2 linked regions of the Alligator mississippiensis genome follow. The protein of the gene in region 2 purifies or fractionates together with the protein of the main gene of each other region. This does not show direct contact. Links are inferred from orthologs where the notes say so. Each region holds a gene or a part of one and is shown on either strand. Other genes may lie near its edges.

Region 1 (7,860 bases), on a different chromosome or scaffold from region 2:
TCTTCCTTCCAAGCATTCCTAGCACACAGGTCAGCAGCACAAGACCTTCAGATCTCCATCTCTGACATCTATATTACTTACATTATTAAAGTAACTTTGGGGAGTTAATTTTTATTTTCTTTGTTATATGGAGGAGAACTCAACACAGTGGCAGAAAAAAAAATTATGCTCATTTACTAGATGACAGAAGAACCCTGTGAGTCACAACTCCTGGGTCTTACTGATGACTTTGGGACAGTGTTAAAACAAGAGGCCCTCCAGTCAGGACTCAGTTTTCTATTACTGGCTCAAGAGGAAGACTATTGGACAGCAGTTAAAGTAATGTTTAGACTGTAACACCAAGCACAAAGATTTGGCAGACCATTTCCACATGTATGTGATCAGAGTACACACCACATTCATCCCAGTAAGAACACTGTGCACTCTCTCAATTACTTCATTTGGGAAATGGTGTGGCTATTACATGCTTATCTTCTACGGTAATGAGAATGATAATGGGAGTTATAAACAGAAATACGTGGACAAATAAGAGATCTGAATGCTTCTCCTAGCTTCTAGATCAGCTTGTTTTCCCTTGGCTAAAAGATATTTTGATGCAACTTTTCCTCTTCCCCAAACGGCGAATATGATTCAACTGGAACACAATATGCCCAAGAGCTCCATTTCCTGTGGGAAAACAAAATCCAACTGTCTTGGGTTAAGATGGCAGCCTCTTGGCTCGTGTGTTCAGTGGGACTAAAGTCACAAGATGTTCCAAAAAATTGCCACCCCTCACACTCTACTGTACCGGGAAATGGTGAGATTCACCTGAACCTTGTGGCATTGATTGTCAGGAAGTACCGGCCAGGGTTCCTGGAAGAGAAGCCTTATGGTTCCAGCACCAGGGGCTCTCCCACTTTTTGAAGCTCTGAAGGTCTGTCAGATACAGCAACTGTGCGAGGCAGTGGCTGGCCTGGCAGAGTAGATATAATACATGACACTGCCTTCAGCACTGCACTAAGCTGGGCTTCAGAAAGACAGAAACAGACCTGCTGGCCTGTCCACATCCACAGCTATCCCTCACATCTCAACCATGTCCTCCATCTCGACAAGTCATGGGGCCTCGCCATGCACCTCCAGGACCAAACCATGCTTCAACTTCATCAAAAAAAAGCCCCCAAAATTCCACACCTAAACTACTTTTAATTTTTCTGCATACTATTGAGATATCTACCAAATAACAAAGAAATTATAAGCTGCCTCTCACTGTATCTTGATGTCCACATACTATATGTTCACCGATTTATGACAGACTCTATTTTGTCCATAGGAAGTTCCTTCTCCCTCTAACCAGCATGAGAAAACACCAATATCCATTTACAGTGTAGCCCACATTTTAACTACAACTTCATACTGATCCTACACACACTTAACAGTGCTCAATCAAGTTCTGCACATCAATCCTGAATAATCTCTTAACATCGCTGAGGCTGTAATTAAACTTGCAAATTACACAATGAGGAAGATTAAGATGTTGAGCCCATGTTCTTTTATTAGCTGGAGGCATAAACATGTTCCTGGTGCTGAAGAACCATATCAATGAAAATGTATAATAAGGGTATTATGGCACAGGTGAAAGGTGTCCCAGAGTTGGCATTTCAGGACATGTATTGTTGGAGGAGCTGTGAAACGTGTACAATTAACCTTAACTGCACCAAAAGGAAGTTTATATTTATGCAACATATACAGTACTGCAGCTTTTCCATGCAGCCTTTTGGAGTACAAGCTTGCACCTCTATCCTGTATCACCAGAGGGCAACTTGCATACATTTCCATTATTTATTAAAGAGCTACTCTGCATTACAGGACTACTCTAGCTTAACAATAAATATACTCCTGCCATACATCTGATCATGTCTGCAACCTTTTCATATTTAATTCAAAGAGTTTGATAAATAAAAACTATGAGAAGCAATTTTATGAGTAACTGAATAAATCTGCCTGTCAGTCACACAACAGATAACAATATGGAGATTATCACCAAGAACTGTAAAGAAAGCATCTCAGCCCCCAGACACCTGTCTAACCCCAAACCATTCTCTTCTCTTCAGGACAACCATGTCAACGGGGTCTAGCTACCGTTACATCCAGCCACTTGTCTCCTCATACAAATTCAGTGCATCGCAAGTAATGGCTTTAAAACAGACAGCGACCAGCGTGCAGAGAGCACACCGAGCTGTCACAAAACACATAATCGATGCATCCAGGGCCGCAGCCCTGCAAGGCAGATGCGATAAAGTAGTTAATTATTCAGTTGGCAATCGCATTACTGACGTCAACAGAAGACTCCAGGAAGTGAATCCTCTTAGTTTGTTAGGGTCTAACAAAGAGTGGAGGTCCCCTCAGAAAAGAAGCAGAACCAGCTGTCCCGTGTTGAGTGCGCCGGCCCGAAACATTCACAACCTGCATTTGCTCTAGCCGACACCCCCACTACACCCTCCTCCCCAAGCAAGTCTGGGCTTTTTCTTAATAAAAAGAGGGATCTTTCAAGCGTACGGCACAACACAGCTGCCCCCGTACGCAGCCCACTCCCCTGCAACCACTTCTCCTGCTGCACGTCAGCCGCCCTTCCCTAGTGCTGGGCCCGCCAGTCAGCAGCCACCAGTGCTTCCCCCAGCGCCCGGGGGCCTCCGCCTTGCAAACGGGCTTCCTCCAAGCCGCTCGCTCCCTGCGGCGAGAGACCTCTTTTGCCCTGGGCGCTGCCGCCGCCGCCACCTCCCCCTGGCCGCGCACCCCGTCCTCGCCCCTCCGGCCTGCTCCACGGACCCGCTGACAGCCGCCCTCCCCGCGGGGTGCCAGCAGGCGCCGGATTAGCCCCGCCGGGGGTCAGGTCAGGTCGGGTCGGGTCAGGCCAAGGGCCCCCCTGCCCCCGGCTCACCCCACTCGAGGAAGTCGGAGACGTAGCGGTCCCGGCGCATCGGCGCGTCGCGGCCGCACTCCCCGCACACGCCGAGCAGCAGGTCGAGCAGCGCCTCCACGCTGAGCGCCGCGTCGTGCCGCTGCGGCCCGTCCAGCACCAGCTGCTCCAGCCGCTTCAGCCGCACCTTGGCCGACATGGCGCCGCGCGGCCGCGCAGACCCGCGCCCGGACCTGCTCCCCCTCACGCCCACATCTGCGGGCCCCGCTGCTCCGTGGGCCGCCGCAACCGCGCCTTCCTCTTCCTCTTCCTCCGCCGCCGCCGCCGCCTCTGCCTCCGGCACCGAGCGGCCCGGCCGGGATTGCAGCCACGCCCCCCGCGCCGGCGTGCCCACGCACAGACGTGCGACCAAAGCGCTGAGCCGCGGAAGTTTGGGCCGAGCCGCTCGCCGTAGTGCGAGATAACTAGCCGGGAGAGCGGCACCTGCAGATTCGTGTGTGGAACATTAAAGGCAGGCGGGGGCTCTGTCGATTCTTTCCCGCAGATTCGCGCCCTGCTTGGGGAGAGGGAAGGAAGCAGAGTCGTTTTCAAGCCGGAGGGTGGCACAGGGGAGCTGGCAGTAGGGTTGTGTCCACCCTTCAGGATGGCCTTGGAGTCTGCAGGAATTAAGAGATTAATCCCCCGGAGACTGGCGGGAGATAAATGACAGGGCTTTTCTTAAAATGTTGAATCCGATTTGTGCAGTAGTCCAGTGGGGTTTTAAAAGGGAATAGCAATGTGCACGTGCTTTCCTGATGCACCGTAATCGGTAACTGATATCTGTGAGCCCGTGGGCACGTCCACGTCGTGTGTCGCGGGCACAGCGGCGTTCCAGCAACCTCCTGCAATAGATGCAAACAGAGTTGGCAACCCTGCCTGCCAGGCACGTGCCCATGTGGCCTGGCAGAAGCAGCCCTCGCTGCAGGTCCAAGCATCCCAAAGGCATATGTCAGCCCCAGGCCAGGCCCGGCTGGGCCAGCAGCCTCGCATGGACCTGTGGGCATTGGTACTTGCTGCCCCCTTGGCCCGTGTGGGAGGCCACGAGCTGATGCCTGATGCACATGTGATCCCAGCTCTGCGCTGCCTTCGGTCTCACTCACCTACTGGGCGCGCGTGTGACCCAGGGTAGAGGCAGCGTGGTGCACTGCTACGGCTACCCCAGTGCCCGGAGAGGCTCTGCTCTGGGCCCGATCCTGGTTACTCAGGCCTAGGAGCATCCTGGCATTTCAGAAGCTGCTGCCTTCAAGGGCCACAGCCAACCCATGCTGCTGGGAGTGCTCATGCCCAGCCATGGGGGAGGGCCTAAGGAAACTTTTGCACCATTTGGGAATTGACTGTAGGGTAGGATGGGCCACCCACATCCTACCCTATAGCTGTCTTCTGCAGGGACTGCAGCCGCTTGCCCCTGCGGTCCCCTGCGTTTTGGCAGGACTTCAGGGCCCATGGCTGCTTAGAGACAAATGAAGCTTAGCAAGTTAGGGCTGCTATGCAAACTGAAGGAAGATGTGAAATGTAGTCAGAGTATCAACACTGCACTGGCTTGAGCTGCATTGTTTCTATTCTGTTAAAATGGCCTGCTAGGAGCTGTTATCTCAGCGAACCACAGTTACTTGGGACCAGATGCACAGTTCCTCAGAAACATACAAGTCTAGACGGGTTTAGGTTGTAGCCATGTTGGTCTAAGGACATGGGCAAACAAGGTTCCTTGGGTGAATTTGATATCTTTTATTAGACTAATCCAAATAGTTGGAGAATATTTATTAAGCAAGCTTTCGGGTTCAAAAACCCTTCATCAGGCTAAGGAAGTTTCAGCAGTTGGTGCGTGCTCTTCCTGGATGGAATGAAAAGTCTAGACATGAATTCACTCTAGACTAAATGCAAACCTGCCTGGTGAGAGGGTGTGACTTCATAACAGGTGAACTGTCAGGGCTAGATGGATCATTGCATGATAAAAGCTGTCATCGCAGAGCAGTAAGGCCAGCTGATTTCAGATCTCTGTGTCAAAATCTTGCATGCAGGAAATGCTTGTCTCTAAAAGCTACAGCCAAACAGAGCCAGATGGAGCTTTGCAGACTGGCGGCTGTCATTACCAGGGCCATAGTCACTCAGGTAATACATCAGCACCTGTTGTCTGTGAGGACTATGTTACTAAGCCCTGAACTGTCATATCCAGAGCTTACAGTCAGTCAGGACCCAGTGGTGGGAGTTGCCATATTAAGGGGCCAAGATCACAGCTGCTTAAGGTCAGATGAAGTGTTGTACGACAGAAAGTGTTGTCTCCTGGGATTATGGCCTGTTGGGGTCCAATGAGGTATTACCAGTATTAAGATTGGAAGCTCTTGTTTCTAGGGGGTTGTCCTCCTCAGGCATGATGTCTCTTCTAGGATACAGAATCTCTGTAAGCCACAGAGCTCAGGTCATGGTGTGACGTGGCACTGGGGTATAAGTTCTCTTTACTTGGTTCCAAACATTGCGACTGTGTAAAGAGAGTCTGGCATGTCAACTTTGCTCTGTTACATCCATGGGCTACTCAGACCAAGATGTACTAAAGGCTGATGCTTGTTGTTTTCATGCACTAGGTTCAAAACAAGATGGGGGCTTGGTACATACTATGATGAAGGATGGACATGACAGACCTGTCATCTCCACAGGCTGTATTTTACTACCTGGTAGTCAAACTGAATGTCAGACTAAAACCTGTACTGTAACCTGTACAGAAAGGCTACTGTGAAGTAAAACTCTTATCATCTCTAAAAGACTGCTGTACCTTTGTAATCCCTATCCCAGGCCCTTGGGAAAAATATCATCTTACTCAGAACATACAGTAATTTAAGAGTGGTGTTGTAGCCATTGTGGTATAGAAATTATATGAGAGTCAAGGATTGTTTAGGTTGCTATCTTTAATTAGATCAACTGCATGATTTCTTATCACCCTAAGAAAGACTTGCCTCTCACAGAATATATGGGTATTTTTAGAATTCCTTCCTGGTTGCAGATAGATCATCTGGCAACCCATCAACACCAATACCACATCTGTCTGTACCATCCTTAGCAACACAATGAGCACAACTGACTTCCTGGGGCTGCTTCTTTATTTGAAAGGAAAGTTTTGCATTTTCTGCTTACCATCATATCTTCAAAATTGTTCAGAATAAGGGCCAAGGAGGACAATGGTTGAAAGATGCTCAAGTAATTGCTGAACCAGATGTAAAAGTGCACACATTCTGCACATGAGGGAGGATGCACTTTTTCTAAATTTGTGTGCTTCCCTCAATGATCTACCCTGGAACTTATGAAAATTTTGGGTCTGATTCTTACCTCATTTTTGCTTGGGTCATTCCACTGATGTTGGGGAGGTTATATCAGGAGCTGTGGAAGGATAATCAGGCCCACCACCTGTTAAGATCTGTTATCCCCTTTCTTGTGCAGCAGTATAGGTGACTGAGTCATAGCCTTTTTTGATAGAGGGGGTACCCAGGAAACTGCAACTGGATGCAGAAATAACCAAAGTCTCCAGTCTCTTGGATTTGTCTTACACTAGGGTTGGGCAACCTTCAGCACACATACCACAAATGGCACAGGCGGCCTCTGTGTGTGGCACACAACAGACAGGAGAGAGGATAGACAGGAGAGCAGTAGATCATGCAGAAAGTAGAGCAGGAGATCAGGCAAAGATTACAGGGCAGAAAGTAGAGAGTAGAGCAACAGATCGGGCAGGGAAAGGGGATCAGAATGGCACTTGGAAAGGGTGCAGAGCTAATTCATGGCACTCCTGTCAAAAAAGGCTGGCCCTCACTGGTCTACACCTGTGTATCTCCCTGGGTTTCAACAGTAATTCTTGATATATACTGGTGTGAGTGAAGATTTGCAAAGGTAAAAAAAAGATGGACCAAAAGATGGAATTGGATCAGCACTGAAAATTATACAAGTGTTTTGCACATCTCAGACTAGCCCACGCAGAATCATTATTGGGACTGCTGATCAGCTGGCTGCTCCAGACATTGTTGAAAGATTGAAAAAGATACATTTGCATTTTTTAATATAGTGCTGGGTTTTGATGCTAAGATCCGGAGGTTTGAAAAACAACCCCCCAGTGGAAAAATGACATCAGGCAAATGTAAGTTTGACATTGTAGCTTAAGGTAGTCTGATTCTGTTACTCACGTAGACCAACTGTGTACTAAAAATAAAAGTGATTTGGCTAAGATGAATTCAGTGATCCATCTTGCTTGTTCTTTTTCCTGTTGCATATTTCAGTGGAAAAATACAACCCCTCTCTTTTACACTACTCTGATCTTACAAAATCTCTCCCATTTGGGACCCAGTGTAAGCAAAAGGGTTCACAGGCATATGTTTTCTGGTGTAGTCCTAGATTTGCAAAACTGAAGATGTTAAGTCCAGATGGCCACTGAACAGGGTCTTTTAAATCCACTCCAACTTAGGCCTCCATTTTATTTTTCTGGCTGTTCTCCAGGTAACTTAGTAACTGGCAGAGAGAGAAATTCTGTTATAGAATTTTGATGGCAACAGGAAATAGCTGTGTCACTGTTTTATGGTTTCAGGAAAATCCACCCACAGGTCAGTTTTGGATTGAAAAGAATAAAGAAATGGGAAAGACTATGGCAGACTGAGATTGCAAATGTAGCTTATAACCTCTCTACAATGGAAAAAGAAGAGAAGGGTGTTGCAGACATCTCCTCCACGACAGCTCCCACTGGACAGAACTAATTCTAAAATGTGACCTGTAAAGAAGAAGAAATTGAGTTTGTGCCTCCTTATAAGGTATAAACAGAGCCCAAGGAACTTGCTCATTAGTTGGGGAAATGCCTGGATTCCTCTTAAATTCTTGTTTTTACTGTTTTACATTAGGATGTTCATGGGAGACTATATGAAGAACCTAACAGAGTTATGCTGCTTAACTAGAGG
Region 2 (8,677 bases):
GAAACAGGGCTGGAAGTGCCTTCCCGGGTGCCCTGATAGGTCCCAAATCCTCCCACATGGCTGGTGGGTGCATACCGGGGACCCGCTTCGCAGCCGGGCACAGGGGAGATGGGGCCGGTGCCAGTGCAATGATGCGGCCGTGCTCAGAGCATCCCAGCTGCAGAGGGGGCAAAGCCCCACGGCCCATGCCAGTCTGACTGGGGTGGGGTGGGGTGGGGTAGGGGGGGTGGGATTGCTTCCTGCCTCCATGTGCGACATGCTTGTGACCCCGAGCAGAGGATCCAGACCCCCTCTGGAGTATGGGTGGCCAGGCAGGACCCCCCAGATGCCACCAGCTGTTCTGGAAGGTCTTGGCCTGAAGCCTGAGGTTAGCAAACCCCTCCCCAGGGCGTAGCGATGCCTGTGTTTTGCTATGGGGGTGTCCCAGGCTTTGCTGGGCGCCCCCTCCTTGCTGCTCCATGTGTTGGGGGGGGGAGGGTTTAAGCCGTCCCCAGAGGCGCTGGGTGCTGCTGCAGTCAGGGCTGGGCATGGCACGGGGCTGTGCCAATGCTCCTGATGGCACCAAACAGGAGGGTCCTGGCTGGAGGCTCTTGCTCCTCTGCTCAGGGTCAGACTGATGCCAGATTTGGGGTCCGGGAGGCATCTTCCCACCTGGTCAGATACAGTCCAGGGGGGTTTGCCTTCCTCTGTAGCAGGGGCACAGCTTCCACGTGGGCTCTTTTGACTGTCTATTAACCTTTTAGAGAAGCGGGATGTTGGCCGCCGTGGTCCCCCTGCTTGCCCTGCGGCAGGTTTGGGTGTGAGGTCTGGTGCTGTGTGGTGGTTTTGCTAGGAGGTTGTATGATGCGTGTGTCTGGGCTGGTTTGCACAGGGCTGATCCTGCCTCAGGGGTTGGACTGGATGTGACCTCGGCACCCTGCGGCTCTAGGATTTCTATGGGATCAGCTGGGACCCACCCGTATGCAATGGCTGGAAGGATCCCTTTTTCAGCTCACTGGATCCTCAGACCTCTCTGGAGGTATAGAAATGCTCCAGCCAGGCCCTGGGAGAGTCCTGCCCTTGGAGAAGAGGTCTTCGTGCTGCCAGGGGTCGGGGTATTGCCTGCACAGAGGGGCCTCCCTGGGAAGGCGGAGGCAGGCGGGGTGGCCTCAGCCTCCCTGCCTGTCCACTTCGGGGGCAAAGCTGTGCTTCCCACGCCTGGAGCTCGCAGCCAGTCCCAGGAGAGGCTGGACAGGAGCAGAGACTCTTCCTCTGCAGGGGCTGGGGCCTGGGCTTTGCATCCCATGCAAACCAGTTCCTTCAGGAAGGATCAGGACAGGTTGGAAAGAGTCCAGTGCAGACGGACCTGGGGGACGAGAGCGAGGAGGAGCAGCTGGGAGAACTGGGGGACTGAGCCTGCAGAAGAGAAGACTGAGGTGGGATTTGATAACAGTCTTGAAATCCCTGAAGGGCGATGGCAGGGAGGATGGAGATGGGCTTTTCTCTGTGGCTGTTGCGGCAGGACTGGGAGCAACAGTCTCAAGCTGCAGGAGGGGAACTGAGGCTGGAGATGAGGAGGAACTGTCTGGTGCTGAGGGGGGTCAGGCATTGGAAACAGGCACCGAGAGGTGGGGAATCTCCAGCCCGCGAAGTTTTCAAGAGCGGGTTGGACAGACACATGGCTGGGATGGGTTAGGGAAGGGTGCTCCTGCCTTGAGCCGGGGGCTGGACGGGACGTAACCTCCTGAGTCCCCTGCCAGCCCTGCTTTCCTGTGATCCAGTATATACACACATACATACTACACACAATTTATACACGCACACATACTTCTCAGCTTCCTCGGTGCAAAAATGAAATTTATTTCCTACCTATGGGACTTTTTACCATCTTTAACTTTCCCTGAGCCTGAGGAAGGGTGTGCAAGCCCAAAAGCTTGAAGGAAAAAATGATATATTTTGCAATTTCTCGGTTGGTCTAATAAAAGGTATCATCTCTGAGCCAAGAGTTCTAGAGTTGTCATTTCTTTTTTTGTCTCAGACCAACACAGCTACCAAATATATCCCTGACACATACCACACACACACACACACACGTATATACACACATACACATGTATACACGCATGCGTATACCTGCATATAGACACATATATGCGCATATCTATATACACATGTCTATACATGTACACACATATATATCACGGACACGGACATATATACACACATACATACACACACACGTATACAAAGGCTGGTAGAAGTTGGTCCTGACTTCAGAGGGTCTGCTCGGAGCGGCTGCACAGGGCTGGGGGTGCCAGCCCCTCTCATGCCTCCCCCATTCAAGCTGGCCTGCGGGGAGTGCCCACCCTCCGCCCATCTTGCAGGGGATCGGGGGCAGCCTGCCTTCATCCCCTGGGACCCCATCAGTTCCTGGGCTGCTGCCAGCAAGGCCAGGCCCTTTCCCTCTACCCTGCATCACCGCTCCGGGCTGACCCCGTTGCCCCCAGACGGGAGACCCAGGGATGCATGGCCCATAGATTTGGGCGAAGACAGCGTCGCTCCTCCACAAGGGGGCAGTGCGCCACCGCCCCTGGGCTGACTGGGCCCAGCCGGATGTCCCACTTGCAACAGGCTTGGGTTTGGGGTCTTGGCTCGTGGCTGGGGGAAGGGACCAACCTTCTCCTTGCCCCTAGGATGCTGTCCCCTACCACTGCACCATGCTGCAGTCAGCAGGCACTGGCACCTGGATGGAGCAGGCAGAGCGCTCGGCCCTCCTTTGTAGACAGGACATGGGCACTAAGTGACAGGGCCAGGGTCGCACAGGCAAGCAGTGGCAGAGCCCTGCTCTCCCTGGACAACATCCGCTGCCCGGATCTCAGCAGCTCGCACCTGGCCCTTGTGCGAAGGGAACTGCTCCATTGCCTGGTGGCAGCAGTAGGAGGCTGTTAGCCTCTCCTGGAGTGGACCAGGCACAGCCTACGAGCCCCTCAAATCCCCCATCCTCCTTTCCCCCCGCAGTGTCAAGGGCTGCATCTCCTCCCTCCACGCCTGCCTCCCCAGGGGGAGATCAGCAGCCAGCTGGCACGGCTGGAGGTGGGGGTCTCTGCGAGGGGCAGCCAGGCCCTCGGGTCCCGTCATGTCCTCAGTGTGGCCCCGTGAGTCCTGGTGCCTCCTCGCGGGCATCGGGGTCAGGAAAGAGGCCCAGGAGAAGGGACCGGGGACTCGGATGCCTGGGCTGTGGTCCACAGAGGTGTCTCTGACAGCTACTGACTGCCCGCAGGACCTTAGGCATGCCAAACATACCTCTCCTGCCTCAGTTTCTCCAGTCTGTGCAGTGGGGACAGGCCACTTCTGTGTCACCAGGCACTGCCCTACTACACAGAATAACACAGGCCTCTTCCCTTTGCCACTGACCCACTGCATGGCCTTGGGCATGACACTTAAGGTCGCGCTGTCCACAGAGACCAGAGGAGCGATTGGCTTTTCAGAGCAAAGTGCCTGGTGGTTTATAGCTCCATGCCTCAGTCACCCCATCTGTGAAATGGGCAGAGAACGGTGCAAGAGCCCACCTCTGCTGTGCAGCAAGACTGGAAGTGCCCCGCGGTGGTGGCAGGGGGTTCAGCACGTCCTCATGCCTAAGCACACACATATGCACACATGTATGCACTGGTGTGCACACATGCCAGGCCACAACACATGCTGCCCCCATCCTTGCCCAGCTCCTGTCCTTCAGGCCTGCTCGCTCCACAGCAAAACACCTCATGAGCTCCGTGCCTCAGTTTCCCCACCTGAACTGACACTGGAGCCTCAATGCCCCGGAGAGTGTGAGCATCCCCCACATGTGGCCCTGGTACAAAGGTAAGAGTCTACAAGTGCTGCAGGAGCTCTTCCTTCAGCTCATGCGAGAGACGATCCTGTTTTTAGTGTGGGTGAGCCGTTGCGGTGCCTCCGACCCGCTTCTCCGCATGCTCCGGCCGTGCAAATGATTAGGGACTTATGCAAATACTATTATACACGGTCAGGTGTAACCAGGCCATGGAGACCCCACGGAGGTGGAGAAAGGGATGGTCCTGGAAAGCAAGAAATGCCCATCTCTCTCAACTGCGTGAAGGACTCCTGCACGGTTCTTTATCCATTTTTATCCCAGCAGGCCCTGGGGGCTCAAACCCAGATCCAGACCCTGTCTGTGCTAGGTCCTGTACAGACGTGCAACCAGCTCGGTCCCTGCCTCTGAGCACACAGTGATCACCGGGTTCGGTAGACACGGGCACAGGGGACTGAGAAGAACTAACAGTGTCCTTTATGGCGGAGCAGCACTCAACCTCTGCAGACCCTTGGTCTGTCTCTCGTTAATTCACCGAATGGAGGGGCCTTCTCCCAATGCCCGACCTCCGTGGTCTCCTCCATAAGGGAGCGTCTCCAAACGAGCACTTCTCTCGCTGCAGAGGACTGGCAGCCCGATGGACCAGCGGGAGCGGGGCTGGGCAGGCCGTGCCTTACACACGGTGGCGCAGCTGGCTAACGAAGCCTCCAAACGGAAATGGCTAATGAATCACCCTTGGTCGGGAGAAGGCGGGGGTGTCAATTATGGCCCTCGGCCGCGTGCCGGCAGCAGCACTCCTGCTCCCATGGCCTTAGTCCACTGGGCCCTGACACCCCGGGGATCCCCTTGGCACTTGCTCAGCTGTTTCCAGGGTCTCAGCAGGCCTTGCACGGAGGGGGCAGCCCGTCCCTACAAGCCGTGCACGGCAATCGTCCCAAGGCTGTTACTGCACAGAGTGGGGAAACTGAGGCACGGGACAGCTTCGCAGCCCTCAGCCAGCTCCTTCCAGCACTTGCACACCTGCTTCCTTTGCCAGCTGTCAGCGCCGCCGTGCTGTGGGCCTGGCGAAAGCCCCCATCCCAGCCAGGAGACACTCGGGGGGGGGCCGGGGCTGGTCTCTGTGGGACGCCTTCTCTGAAGCGGGGAGCCCGGCTGCGGCGGGGAGAGGGGCAGCAGGTGCAGCTCCGAGTTCAGATGTGGGCATTAAGTCTGGGTTTCTGGGAGCCGCCTGGGCAGGGCGCGGCCCCCCGCAACCACCGGCTCCCGGGCCCTGGCAGCCGCGGGCTCGGCTTCCCCGCAGAGCGGAGACATGCCCGAGGCGGCGCAGGAGGGCGGTGGCAGGGAGAGGGAGCGGCGAGGGGAGGGGAGGGGGCGCCGGGCGCGGGGGAGGGCGCGGGCGAGGGCGCGCGCCGCGTTTGTGCGCGCGCGCCGCTCGGGGGAATACGGCGCGGGCGGCGGGCGCACACGGAGCCTTACGGCGGCGGGGGGCCGCGGGTTCGAGGCCGGCCCGGGCGGGATGGAGCCGGGCGCGGCGCTGCCCGCCGAGCTGCGCGAGCTGGAGGGCAAGGCGGGGCGCGGGACGCCCGCGGGGCTGGCGCGGTGGCTGCGCGGGGACCCGCTGCTGCCGCTGCCCCCGGGGCCGGGGCCGGGGCCGGGGCCGGCCGGGGCGGGGGAGGGCGCGGGGCTGTCCGGCAAGATCGCGGCGCTGCGGCTCGAGCTGGTGAGTGCCCCCCCCGCAAAGCCCCGCTGTTTTGCAATAGACCCTTTTGGGTTGCAATACCCCCCCACCTTTGCAAAGCCCCGCTGTTTTGCAGCACGCCCCCTGCACTAGCCCCCTCCCGCAGCCGCACCTCCCCCAGGGTTGCAGCACCCCTCCCGGGCTCTGCAGAGCCCCGCTGTTCTGCAATAGACCCCCCAGCTCTGCAATAGTAGCCCCCCCCCTCCGCAGTAGCCCCCCCGCAGCAATGTCGCTGCCCACCCTGGCAGCACCCCCAGCTCTACCGTAGCCCCCACAGTAGCCCCCCTCCCCGGCTCTGAGTAGTGACCCCCCCACAAGGATTTGCAGTGCCCCCCCAGGGCAGCCCCCCCCAGCTCTGCAGTAGCTTCATGTAGCAACTGCCCCCGCAATAGCTTCCACAGCCCCGAGCCCTCTCCCCCACCTTTAACACCCCCCCCATCTGCAATAGCCCCCGTGGACAGCAATACCCCTGCCCCAATTCTGCCATCCTGCCCCCCAGGCAGCAACCCCCCCCAGCTCTGCAATATTCCCCCTGGGGCAGAGACCCCCCAGTATTGCAATAGCCCCCCTGCAGGGTAGAGACTCCAGCCTGGCCATAGCCGCCCCTCGGTAGTGACCCCCCCCTCCCCCCCGATCTGCAGTAAATAACCCCCCCAGCTGAGCCATAGCTGCCCCCCAGGCATCACCCCCTCTGTTCTGCCCCCTCCCGCACCCGGCCAGGGCCCAGGCCCCCCAGGCTGTGCTGGGGCACATGGGGGGCTTCGCAGGCTCAGGCTGGAGCTATTCGGTGCCAGGGCAGCTGTGGGGGCCCGTTCATGACCGTCACCTTTGCTGTTCCCTATCCCCTCCGCGGTGCCCAAACCCCCGGGGCTGGCTGGGAGTCCCCTTCCGGCGGCTCCGGTGCCCCACACATCCCGCTCAGTCCGGGCCAGCTGGGCCCGAGGTAACATCGCGAGTCCTGATGATCCGGCAGGAATCGGGCCCCCAGAAATGCAAATCCTTCCTCGTCCCTAATTACACCCATTCTCCACCCACCCGGAAGGAGGCTGCAGAACTGGCCGCTCCTGGGAGCAAGGAGACCCGGGCTTCGTTCCCGGTGCTGCCCCCCACTCACTGGGTGACCTCAAGCCCATCACTTAGCTCATTTGGGCCTCAGTTCGCCTGGCTGTAGCCTGCAGGAGGTGCCAACCCATTTTATAAAGCGTTTAGAGCGCCAAAAGGAGCAGGGTGGCGTTGTTATAGGACAGGAGGTCAAGGAAATGGAAGTGCCTGGGGCTTGATCCTGGCAGGTGCCAGGGATGGGGGTGCAGAGCTGCTTTCTGCTCCATCTCTGGCAGAGCCGCTCGGGGCCAGCTGCACTCCCTGCCCCGCGCTGACCCGGCCTGGGATTATCGGGGAGGGGCCGGCTCCAGCGTCGCCCTGGCCTGCCCCGTGCCTCGACCCTTAGCGCCCTGTGCCTGTCCACGGCTCCACGCCTGTGTGGGAGGGCGCCTGCCATGTTACAATGGTGAGGCGGTGAGCAGAGCCCTGCGGCCGGCTGTGCTGTTCCGCCCCAGAAGCAGCTGCGAGTGGCGGGGGTTGGTCCGTAGCTTGCGATGAAAGCAGCTCCTTGCGGGTAATAATAGCACAGAGGAGTCTAATGAGGACACCCCGATCCCATATCACCCCCCTTCCTTGATCTCCTGCCCTATAACAACGGCACCCTGCTCCTATCGGCGCTCTACACGCTTTATAAAATGGGTTGGTACCTCCTGCAGGCTACAGCCAGGCAAACTGAGGCCCAGATTAGCTAAGTGACGGGCTTGAGGTCACCCAGCAAGTGAGTGGCAGCGCTGGGGATGCAGCCCAGACCTCCTGGATCCCAGGAGCGGCCCATTCTGCAACCTCCTTTCGGGTGGACGCAGGCTGGGTGTAATGAGGGAGGAGGAAGGGTTTGCATTTCTGGGGACCTGATTCATCCCGGATACAACACAGAAGCCTGCTTTCCCAGCGTCTTGTGTGCAGGCCTGTTCTCTCTGAGTGTCGGATAGGCTCTCCCGGGCTGGCCTTTGCAGCAGGAGATGGCTCTGGGGGTCTGAAGCCCGTGCCCCCATGCTATAAAGACCCAGCCGAGGGGGGTGGGGGGGGTCCTCCAGATCCCTGGCATGAGCAGGCACAAATGTAATGAAGAGAGCTCCCTGCATTGGTTTCTGTAGCCACCGATCTGGCACCAGCCTCTTCCTTCCCTTCCCTGCTGGTTTTGCTGCCTGCGACGGAGCCTGTCCTTCTGGCGGGCCGGCCCACGCTCTCCCAGCTGCCGGCCCCCGCAGCCCCCTTCCCTGACGCCCGACTGACGTACACCATGCATGGATACCAGATGCAGCAAAACCCAGCTCCGCGTGCCTCCGACGGGGGCTTTTTTAAAGGGGCATCGGCAAGGAAATTGCTTTCGCATGGTGCTGCTCGCAGCGTTGTGGCTCAGGGGAGCAGGGACGATCTAGGGAGCCACGGCTTTTACCGGCGGGCCGCTTTCCCGGTGGGTTTCTAGGCTGAGGTCTAAACACGGAAGCTGCTTCAGAGGCCGGGGATGCAGTGGGGGTGCTCACGGCACCCCAGGGCGGTGTTGTTAACCCTGCTCCCTAATGTGGAAACTGAGGCACGGAGCAGCTAAGTGATGTGCCCGAGGTCACCCAGGTGGCATGACTGGAGCTGTGGCGGGTCTCTTGTCCGGAGGCTTGAGAATTGGCGGAGGCAGGCCCCGGGCTTGGCTAAGTGCAATGCGGGACGCAGCCCGGCATCCCTGGCTGTTGCACGCTGTGGATCTCACCCCCAGCACCCTGCAGGAAGGCAACCTCGCTCTCCACGCCCCGGCATCCTTCAGCCCTGGGGTCACCTTGGCTCAGGAGGCCCGGAGCGCAGACGGGTGGGCGTGATGGCAGGCTTTGCACGCAATGAATATCGAATCTGGTTCAATAGAGACTAATAGGGGCTGGAAGGGAGCTGCAGAAGTCCAGCCCCTGAGGCAGCATCAGCCCTGTGCAAACCGTGCAGCCGCACGCCAGTTGTCTGTCCCTCACCCTCTGCTTGTACTGGAATCCAAGACGAGGGGCTTTCCCCCATGTTGAAGGGGGTGGGGACTCGTCTTGGACCCGAGTGCG

What was found.
Region 1: the proteins of LURAP1 (region 2) and CDC42BPB purify together in Homo sapiens (co-immunoprecipitation; 3 studies listed by BioGRID and IntAct, with this or other methods). This does not show direct contact. The link is inferred for Alligator mississippiensis from reciprocal best matches to the Homo sapiens genes LURAP1 and CDC42BPB.

Annotation. Positions count from the first base shown.
Region 1 is NC_081825.1:285,809,069-285,816,928, forward strand, and holds the start of CDC42BPB (serine/threonine-protein kinase MRCK beta), read right to left. Parts: upstream 3,223-7,860; 5' UTR 3,096-3,222; coding exon 2,918-3,095; intron 1-2,917. UniProt on the Homo sapiens protein: Serine/threonine-protein kinase which is an important downstream effector of CDC42 and plays a role in the regulation of cytoskeleton reorganization and cell migration. Regulates actin cytoskeletal reorganization via phosphorylation of PPP1R12C and MYL9/MLC2.
Region 2 is NC_081828.1:3,374,809-3,383,485, forward strand, and holds the start of LURAP1 (leucine rich adaptor protein 1), read left to right. Parts: upstream 1-5,253; 5' UTR 5,254-5,318; coding exon 5,319-5,522; intron 5,523-8,677. UniProt on the Homo sapiens protein: Acts as an activator of the canonical NF-kappa-B pathway and drive the production of pro-inflammatory cytokines. Promotes the antigen (Ag)-presenting and priming function of dendritic cells via the canonical NF-kappa-B pathway.